Linked DNA regions of Drosophila melanogaster. The protein of the gene in region 1 purifies or fractionates together with the protein of each later gene. This does not show direct contact. Each region holds a gene or a part of one and is shown on either strand. Other genes may lie near its edges.

Evidence for each region.
Region 2: the proteins of how (region 1) and Hrb27C purify together in Drosophila melanogaster (affinity purification with western blotting, with the first as the bait; one study listed by BioGRID). This does not show direct contact.

The regions. Positions count from the first base shown.
Region 1 is NT_033777.3:22,039,907-22,045,195, forward strand, and holds the start of how (held out wings), read left to right. Parts: upstream 1-2,284; 5' UTR 2,285-2,449; intron 2,450-3,000; 5' UTR 3,001-3,157; coding exon 3,158-3,473; intron 3,474-5,289. UniProt on the Drosophila melanogaster protein: RNA-binding protein involved in muscle development and dosage compensation. Vital role in steroid regulation of muscle development and to control heart rate.
Region 2 is NT_033779.5:6,918,795-6,923,920, forward strand, and holds the start of Hrb27C (heterogeneous nuclear ribonucleoprotein at 27C), read left to right. Parts: upstream 1-1,909; 5' UTR 1,910-2,067; intron 2,068-2,171; exon of another isoform or gene 2,172-2,279; intron 2,280-2,465; exon of another isoform or gene 2,466-2,646; intron 2,647-2,844; exon of another isoform or gene 2,845-3,004; intron 3,005-3,936; exon of another isoform or gene 3,937-3,940; 5' UTR 3,941-4,032; intron 4,033-4,989; 5' UTR 4,990-5,111; coding exon 5,112-5,126. Other genes in the region: x16 splicing factor, read right to left, coding at 730-1,148. UniProt on the Drosophila melanogaster protein: This protein is a component of ribonucleosomes. Could be needed to organize a concentration gradient of a dorsalizing morphogen (Dm) originating in the germinal vesicle.

The DNA.
Region 1 (5,289 bases):
ACTGGTTAATGGACGATTGCTGCCTGGCTTTTGGCCAACATATTGCTAATTACACACTCTCACACCACCGGTGGTTTGTTTCTGTGTCGGCGGTAAATTAAGAAAAAGAATGTTTAATTTGTCGTTTAGGCCGCCACAAAGCCGCTAAATGTCTTGGCCAAATTTGCATTCGACACAAACGTGCAGTGGCCAAAAAAGGATTCCCGGGACCAGCAATATAGTGTTAGCGCCGCCTGGCAGGTTGTCAATCTTTGGAACCACTTCTTTTTTAGCAGCCGAATTGGTCAAACAATCGAATTGCATTTGGGTAGCAATATCTCTCTGTTAATAGGCAATGAAAGATTTGTGGGATATTTCCGACTTTAGATTTAGGTTGTTGAACTAATGGTGCATAACCAAAATTTCTGAACTTTTCAGTTTACACAAAACTTGAACCAATTCAAGCATTTTCTCGCCTAACTTTACAGCTGCTGGAAAACTTTTATTTTGCGGCCATTTCGGTTTTCCAAAACCGAAAGTGCCGCCCAAAACGACCCACTCACAATGTAAAACACCACATTCAAAAGGGCAAATTCCAAAAGCACTAGAGAGATTAACGGCCCACGGAAAACTTGGCACTTCGGACTTGGCCAGATGTCCAATGGGCCGATACTGGGCGACGTGGGTGTGCGGATTGGAAAGGGCTTTGGTCTGTGGCCCAGAGATTTAAATCGGATATCCATCCATAGGCATACAATGTCTCAATCGCCACGCACATTGACACATTTTTCAATGGCACTAAAACTGTATAATGGGGCCGTACAACGCATTTAATGTCGGCCCACACACACAGGCCAATTCCGATCGGTTTGAGCCAAGTGCACACAAATTTGGTGGGACTTGTGGCCGGACTGTGAAACTTGGCCAGGTGAGGTCCGGTGGTGGGAGTCTGCTTTCCAATGGAACGACCAATCCGATGTCCATCCACAACTTTGGCCACAACTTTAAACTTTCACGTCTCATTTTGGTGTATGCTGGTTTCAAAAATCGGATCTTGCCCCATGCCTGCCGTTGGCTAGATGTGCCGCCCCAGAAATTTTGGGTTCCGATGGGGAAGACTGTTGCAATGAAGTGATCCTCATACATATATGTATATCAAAATATTGTTGAAGACACAGGCAACACACAATAAGTTCACCGATCCACTGGCATTAAGTGTTGTAATAGTGGAAGGACCTAAATGTGAACAGAACACGAGTAAAATTTTAGAATAAAAGTAGCTTTGTAGACTTAAAAGATTGTTTTATTTTGATACACTTTATCGATAATTAATTATTTTTAGTACGCAATATCTTAATACTGCGTTGAATTTTTGTGAAATTCGCCAACCACACGGAAGCCAGCGAAAAATGTCTTTCGCGATGGAAAGTAAAAGTTGTCGCCGGCCTAGGGTCGCTTATATGGTGCGTCCATCGAAACGCTCGCGAATGCCAATTTTCCCACATACATTTCGCGTTTTGCAGCAGAGTTAACCAAGTTAACACCAACATTTGGCCAGTACGAGTTCGGGGGCTCATTTGCATGGTGTTTTGGACTTGGGGCCCAGATGCCAGCCCCCGCATATGTCCGGCGAAACAAAATGCCGCTTGGTTCTAATCTGCCAGCAATTTCCGTGCGCAATTAATGCCTCCACAGCGCAGTGTCTTAATTAATTCAAAATCAACGCCAACGCGCCAAATTGTGGCCCACCCAGCTACCAGGTGGCAACGCTGAATGTTGTTAGTCAATTAATGCATTAACTAGCCTCCATTTGGAAGAATATTAATGGCCCACCTTTGTATTTAGTTGCTATTAACTTATTTGGCCATTTATTAACTTTTATACTCGCACTTTTGGCTAAAATATGTGTAATATGTTAACCAGCTGCGCAACTCTGTTTGTGCGGAGTGGCAACGCTGATGGGTGATCTCGCATGCTGGCAGTAGGGTGCGAGAGAGCCAAGTCAGAGAGAAACTGACGTCACAAGATGGGTATTGGCGTATTTTTTATGGAAATGGTTATGCAAATATTGACTAAACGTCACCGAGTAGTTAAAAGCACTGATATATTAGAAATTAGTTAATTTAGATCAAAAATACCCCCAAATATATAACCAAATATTGGCTTTTAAATATTTATTAAAAGCAATCGCACTTTGTGACGTCACTGGGCGAGAGAGCAGAGAAACGAGAGCACATTGAAACCACCACCCCACGATCGAACTGGCATGATCTCACACTTACAACGTTTTGTGCTCTTCGCTTCGCATTCAGTTTCTTTTTCTCTTTCTTTGCGCACGGTTCAGTGGTAGGAAAATTAGGAGGAATCGTTCAGTAAAGTCCCGAGATCCGTTCGCTATTCCCCGACTCGAATAAAATCCATATACACATATATCAAATAAACAAAGGATAGGAGTCCTCAGAGAAGAAAAGTGTGTTTAAAAAAAATACTTTCCAAACAAAACGAAATGAATAAAATCCAAAGCCATCCAGTAGCAACAACAAATACATAATCAGCAACTGTGCATATTTCTGCGAGTTTTCTTGCATTTTTAAATCGGTTAAGTGGCCTTGTGCACTCGGTACATCTCCAGGCAAAGGAATTTATACCTTTGTATCTTCAAAACGTAGAAATTTGAATATAAAATTTATTTAAATACTTTTTTGTTGTACTTGCTGTTGCAGCAGCCAAATGAGCGAGGGTGAGAGAGAGAGGCAGCTATTTTGACATTCTGCTTTCATTCATCTCCGTCGCATATACAGTTTTACTGTTTATTGTCCGTGTGTGAGTGAGCGATCGCCGAGGAATTTTCTGCCTTCGCTTTCGACTTGCTGCGCTCTCTCGCTCTCTCAGTATCTCTCGCCCTGCATTGTTGTTGCTGCCGATCGGAAAAAATACTTTTGGGCGGAGTTGTTTTCATTTCGTTTTCCGTTTTTAATATCGCTCGCGTACGAAACTTAATGAATTTCCCAACTCCCACAGTAACGTGTTAAAAGTAGCAAAAACAAATAAAAAAGAAGTGTGCACCAAGTAAAGAAAGCAGAGACCCAAGGAAAGTTGAAAGTTGAAAACCAGAATCTCGTCGAGAACAAAACAAAAAGTTCCCAAAAACCCACACATCACACACGCACGCAACAAAATGAGTGTCTGTGAGAGCAAAGCCGTTGTGCAACAGCAACTGCAGCAGCACTTGCAGCAACAGGCAGCCGCAGCAGTTGTTGCGGTCGCGCAACAGCAGCAGGCTCAAGCCCAAGCCCAGGCTCAGGCTCAGGCACAGCAGCAGCAACAGGCGCCGCAGGTGGTGGTCCCCATGACCCCGCAGCACTTGACCCCACAGCAGCAGCAGCAGAGCACACAGAGCATCGCCGACTATCTGGCCCAGTTGCTCAAGGACCGCAAGCAACTGGCCGCCTTCCCCAACGTCTTCACCCACGTCGAACGCCTGCTGGACGAAGGTAAGTCGCTAAAACTCAAACCGAGTGAGATCCCTCCAAGTCACAGCATCATCCTAATCCCGGATCCAAGACTCAGCGGAAGGATAACGATCACTAGCTAGCCTTTTCTGAATCAAACGATAAACCCAGTTACTGTTTGTTATTGTGATAATATCCTTTTATTCATCAAACACTTTACAGTACCATTAGGAAATTGTTATATATAATAAATGTGATGAAATGTGGTGAAAGAAGAAATTTGGATATTCTTGTTATAATGTTCAGATATTTAACTCTAGAATGTATTAGAACTTTGTGTTTGTATTCCAAAAATTCATGAAAAGAACATTAAACTATTGTAGTATACAAATCGATGCCATTACAGTTTGGTTTATATCTTTTTTAATTGTTCAAAAAATATTTGCAAAGCACTTTAATTCCGAGAATCTGGCGGGATTTATTGTAAACATGTATTACAGAGACTGTAGGTATTTAGAACACATTTGGGTAAATGGGAGAGTTTAAATGAGTATATATGTTATTTTAAAGTGGTGACTTCATTTTCAATCGTGTGTGCCAGGCGTGTTAATGATTAGGGTGCCTCTAACCAAGTGATCACTGTAGTTCAATCAGTTTTGGGGCATGGATCTCTGGGTGTCTGGTTTGTCTCCTCGGCGTCTCCTTTTCGGCATCTTCTCCATCGCGGGTTCTGAGTTCATTCCACCTTACAAACCGAAACGAGATGTTTGTTATTTTTAGTTACTTCCTTTTTGTGCGCCTCTTCGCGGAGCGCACACTACTTACACCTCTCTCCGGGCTCTCTCCTTTTGTATTCTTGGCTCCACACTTGACTGCCAGTGCAGCCTTTGTTGTTCTCATTATGAATTCTTTGTTGACTCGGCCATTCGTAAACCAAAAAGGAGGGAGGCTTGGATTTTGAGAGACGCAGAAGGAGATGCGAAACCCCAGGGGGGGAACCCCCAACAAAGATAGAAACATTAATGTGGTGTGGTATTATGTGATAAGAGATCATTTTATTCACAAGCATGTATGAATTTATACATATGCTAAAAGTTTTAAAATTTTCGAATCTGGAATATTATTGGATCCATTTAATGATCTGCTTTGCTCTGTGCACTGAACGTGTAGCAAACTTATCTGAAAGAGGAAAAATGTACCTCAACTGCCCACGCTTTGCCTCGAAAACCAAAAAAATCAAAAAAAAAGAAAATATGAATAAATATACGGCAACGAAGCAAAAACTCTTAAAGGCAAGCCAACAAAAGTCAACTTTCGGGGCGGGATAGGGGCGGTATAGGGGCAGGGGCGTGGCACTACCTGGTCGCATCTTGTATCTTGTATCTGGCATATCGGAGCTCTCGTTTCTGTATTTGCCCAACATCTGTTGCCCATATGCAGGCCGGCCAAGAGGGTGTGTGTCGCCTCGTAATGACAAAATTATGTTGCACAGATACACAGATTCAGATACTGGTGCGGTATTTGCGGATTGCAAGGTACCGCTAGATGGCCAGAGTACACTTATTATGTACAGCGTATGTTTGGATTACTTTAATATACGTTTTTTTTTACCATATTGCTTAATCAATTTGTTTATAATTGCTACTACAATTTAAATTACATTTAATTATTGCAATTAAACTTGAAATGTGATAGCAAATGGTCTGTATAATAAGATGCAAGATCTTGATTTCTCTCTTCATTTGGAAAATATCCAAGAAGTCGGTGGTCTTATCTAGACCAATCAGATTATTGATTACCAGGTACCAGGAGGTATCGCACTGTCGGAAAACTCGCCCAAAAGCTTATATTCTTGTTT
Region 2 (5,126 bases), on another chromosome or scaffold:
ACCACTGTAATTAATTCACCACGAACGTAAAAGCGCGGGGAAAATAGCGTAGGAGGGTGTCTTGCAGCCGCCTGCTACCCTTTTGTTTACCACTTATTTTAATTTGTCTATTTCTAATCAAATCAATCAAACTTTAATATCAATATTAAATATATTAGAGGACTTCGCTAAATCATTGTCACGTAACTATTTGTAAGCTTTTGTGCAATTTACGGACAAATTCTTGTGCTCAAGAGTATAAAATATATATATTTTATATATTTATTAATCACGAAAGTGTTTACATTTTTACAATATATTAGACTTATAATAGTCTATATAATAGACTTAAAAACAAAATTCTGTTATTACTATCTGAATAGATAACTACTGTTGTCAAGCATGATTTTGTTAGACAATTGTAGAAGCTATATACTTCTCATATCGATATTAATGGGTATGCCACCCGAGCACGTGTGCGTGCTGTTATGGTACAGAACTACTTCATGCGCTGGGATTAACAGCACTCATTGCGCATAACAGCACGCTGTTAGTTTTAACAGGCGACAGAGGTGCCCAAACAAACTCAACATTTTTGCATGCGCATACACACAAGCATGCATGTATGTATGTATGCGTTTGTTTGTATGTATGCCTTTCTCTCGCCATGTTACAAAAAGCAAGAAGTTTTTGGCAACGACAATGAATGAAAAATTGAAATGGCGAATTGCAAATGCGAATTGCGCTTACCTGCGTCGCTGCCTGGCCTTCCTTTCGCGACAGTGGCGAGCGAAATGCCCCCGTCCGCCGCACTCGTAGCACTTATCGTCCCCACGACCACCGCCGCCTCGGTCGCGTCCTCCGAGTCCTCCACCACCACCGCCTCCACCACCTCCGCCACCACCACCGCCGGACCTAGCATACTTTCCGGTGGACAATTCCACACGGGCTCGGCGCCCGCAAACCGTCCGTCCGTCCAATCCGCGCACCGCATCCGCCGCATCGCGGGCACTCTCAAACTCCACGAAGGCGAAGCCCGGCGGATTGCGGGCTATCCAGACGCTGCGCAAACTGCCGTACGCTCCAAATACATACTCCAGGTCGTTCTTCCGGGCATTGTTGCCCAGATCGCCCACGTACACCTTTCTATCGCTCGGATGGCGCGACATTTCTGTTTATTTCGCTTTTCCCCGGGCCCAAATTAATGTGGCAGCAGCGCAGAAAAAAATCGATGATGGGTTGGAATCACTTGCCACCGCCTTCCTGGGCACTTTGGTCGGTCAATCGCGCACTGGCGAACACTTTTAGTCACTTAACACGGTCGGCAGATGCGAATTTTTGTGTTTATTTTCTATTTAATGCAGCGCAAAACTCATTTTACCGGGTAGCAAACAGAGTGACCGTGGACAGACCATTAAAAGAAACTGCGGACTCGCTAAAAATATACCAAAAGTTATGCTCAATCCGCGGGTAACGGTCAGCAAAAGGCGGGAGTGTCTGGCAACAATAACTTCCAGGGCCGAAAAATGAAAATCTAAATATTTCCTTTTCAACTCCTACGAAAAAAATACTCAAAATTATTTTTTCCTTTCAAAACATTCCATCCGCCTAAAGAAAGCGACTATAAAACCTTTTTTAGTATAGTACATACAAATCATATACACACATCTTATTACATTTTTCACCTTTAAGATATTATTGTACTGCACAATTACATTTTAATGTAAATAATTTATAATACATTTTTTTAACCAGTCCCCTTTAACTTCCTTTATATTTAGCCTTCGTGTTAAAAGATAGATATAAATTCGTAATTTAAATTTGTTTTCTAGTATCTGTTAGATTCAGAATATATGTGGAGTATGTTTTAGTATATTCCGTGCAACTTGAGGTATTTTTTTTGGCTGGCGGCGGTCACACAGCATTAAACGTGGCGGCGATTTATCATATAAGTTAGGTTATAATATCGTATGCATCAAAATCATACAATTATTTATAAGCTAGTTTTTTAAGGAAAAAACACTTAAATTTAGTGAATTTGCAGTGCGAAATCTTTAAAAAACCACAGACGAACACTTGGCACAAACGGTAAGAACGAAAAGCGACCGAAAATCGCATTTACATAACAATTACAGTGCTTTAACAAAATGCCTGCCTAGCCTTTCCTTTCCAAAAAAAACGCCTGAATACTTGACGCAGCTGCCATTGCTCGGTGTGCGCGTGTGTTTGTGTGTGGGGTAAAATTGGCTCGATTCGTTCGAATCGTTTCTTCGCCTTTTCGGATTTCTCGACAAACAGAGGTTTGTGCAATTTTCAGCGATTTTTCGTGCCACTTTCGGCACTCTATTTCCACCCATCAAAGTGGAAAATTTCATATTTTTATACATACATACGAAAAAATGCTATGTATAACACCACACCAACGATCACGCACACCATTGCACAGCGCTCGGCGGCCATTCGCGCACACACACGCTCTCACGCGCACACACGTACGGCCAACTCATGCACTCACACACGCCAGCAGATTGCGGTGCAAAATACAAAAATCGTGCGAAATTCGTAAAATTGCGTATTAGAAATCTTGGTTAATTTCGCTCCTATTTCTCCGGCCCGAAAGCCCAAGTGTCAAAAGTGTACCCGGCGTGAAAGTGCATTCGTGAATTAGTGAGTGCCCCATCGATTAAACCGCCTGGCTGGCCAAACAAAACGAAAAGCGTAAAAATACAGTGAAATGCGTTTGTTCCCTTTTCTAAGAACTGAGACCCAAGACATTTCTTGAGACTTCTTTGTTGTATCATTTTTCATAAGGCACGTCTTCCATTTTGTTTTTTTTTCTTCGTTGCCTTTGCCGTGGTGAATTTCCCACACACTGCCAGTGCGATTCATTCAGTTCAGTCGTGAGTACTCAGCCAGCAACAACAATAAAACATTAATCGTTTAAAGCTGGAGGAAAACTCGAAAAAGAATTGTTTGTTTTTTCTTTCGATGGAATTAACATTTATTTTGAGGGCATTGGTTTTTGGTACGTTTGCTTTTCGCTTTCCATTCGCGTTCACGTCACACATGGCGTTGCCACATGTTTTTTCACTTGTTAATGGGCAAAATGTCTGCGAAGTGCTGCCAGTAAAGAAAACGGGATTTTCTTGATAACAAAGTGAATTTAAACCCGTTGTTCATTGGCGTTTGCACAAAAATTTAAATATACTCCTGTAGATGTTTACTTGGCCCACATCTGGCTGTAATCTGTAATACCCTGGCAAATGGCGCGCAAATGTGGTGAACCGGCGACAGCTCTCTTTTCACCTTGGAAATACATAAGTTCGTTGTTCTCATTGATAGGCGGCATGTGTGCTGGTGTGTGAGTGAGGCTGGGGATTTGTTACAACAACAACAACAACAACCATTCCGCTCGTGACACAGCGAAAAGAAAACAATACTTTCACGTAGCCGTTCAAAAACGAGTGAAAGGGGATGAGAGTAGTGTTGGGGTGTCGAAGGAGGAGCAAACTTGTGAACGTGTACAAAAAGCAGTTAGACGACAAACACACATACACGTGTACGGCGGAATCTCTTCAGCTGCGTGTGTTTGTGTGTATGTGTACCGGCCGGTTGCTTCTGCCGCTTTTTTCTCTTTTTTTTTTTTGTTCCTACCTGTGCCTTTCATAATAACTATGCGTGAATTTTTTGTCATCTGACCATTTCTACCCATTCGCACCAAAGATCTTTACACAGCAAGAAATATTGTCTCCGAAGGAAATGTAAATTTAAAAAAATTTCAACCATAGCCCTGGCCTTTAATTTTAATAACGTCAGTTTGCAAATAACCAAATTAACTATTCCACCTTGTTTTTTCCTGTGTAGCAATTCGATTAACCGGATTTCTTATATTCTATGTGTATCTTTCCATGTGCCTGCAACAAAAACAAACCGACGACATCGATATTGTTACGATAGAAAGTTACGTGTGAACGTCGTGGCTTTTGTTTAATTGTTTTGAAGGAAAAAAGAACTTTGGCAACGTTGAAACCAACCTAAGATATTGCCCAAAAAGTAAGATATTGCCCAAAAGTAATTGCGGATTTTTCATATAGTCGGCGTTGACAAATTTTTTCAACGGCTTGTAACTCTGTAATTGCATTCTTTCTTTGGTCAGTTATCAGCTGTTACTTTTAGCTTCCATTAGAAAAAAAAGTGCGCGAAATTTTGTTTTTATTTGTTTGTTTGGCGTCAATTTTAATATGGAGCCCACAAAGGAGCATTTTCGTCATATCTTACTTTATTATTTCCGTAAAGGAAAAAACGCGGAGAAGGTTGCTAGAAAGTTACGAGAGATACGATGGTATGGTGATGAAGCCTTAAAAGGAAGACAGTGTCAAAATTGGTTTCGCAAATTCCGTTCTGGAGATTTTTCACTTAGAGATGAGCCACGTTCAGGCCAAATGAAGTTGATGATGACCAAATCAAAGCATTATTATTTATCGAATTAGATCGTCATGTAACTTGAGCGTGAGATAGGAGAGAAGTTAAATATACCAAAAATCAACCGTTCATTATAAAAAGTCTTGGACTGGTGAAAAAGCTTGATATTTGGGTACCACATGTATTGAAAGAAATTCATTTAACACACCGAATCAACGCTTGTGATAAGCACCTTAAACGCAATGAATTCGATCCGTTTCACTTCAATGGCTGATATCCACCAAAAGAAGGTTATGCTGTCTGTTTGGTGGTATTGGAAGGGTGTCGTATATTTTTAGCTGCTTCCAAGGAACCAAACGATTAATTCGGATGTTCGCCAGAAAGATGGCAAAAGATTATCGAACAATATATTTGATTAAAGTTCATTCGAAGTTTTATTAAAAATGCATTTACTTTCATTTACAAAATCCGCAATTACTTTTTGGACAACCCATACATAAAATACATACAAACATAAATACATAAAAAAAAACACAAAAAAAAAATACCAGCAGCAGTGTAAAAATTGTATATTCTCCCCCAAAACAGGCAACCAACCGAACACAAGTTAATTTCTTTGCACCCCGTGTTAATAAAAAAGCGGCAAGATTACGTCAATTATTGAGAACCTACCCGGCGCCATAGCTCACAACCACAACCAAAACAACATCATGGAGGAAGACGAG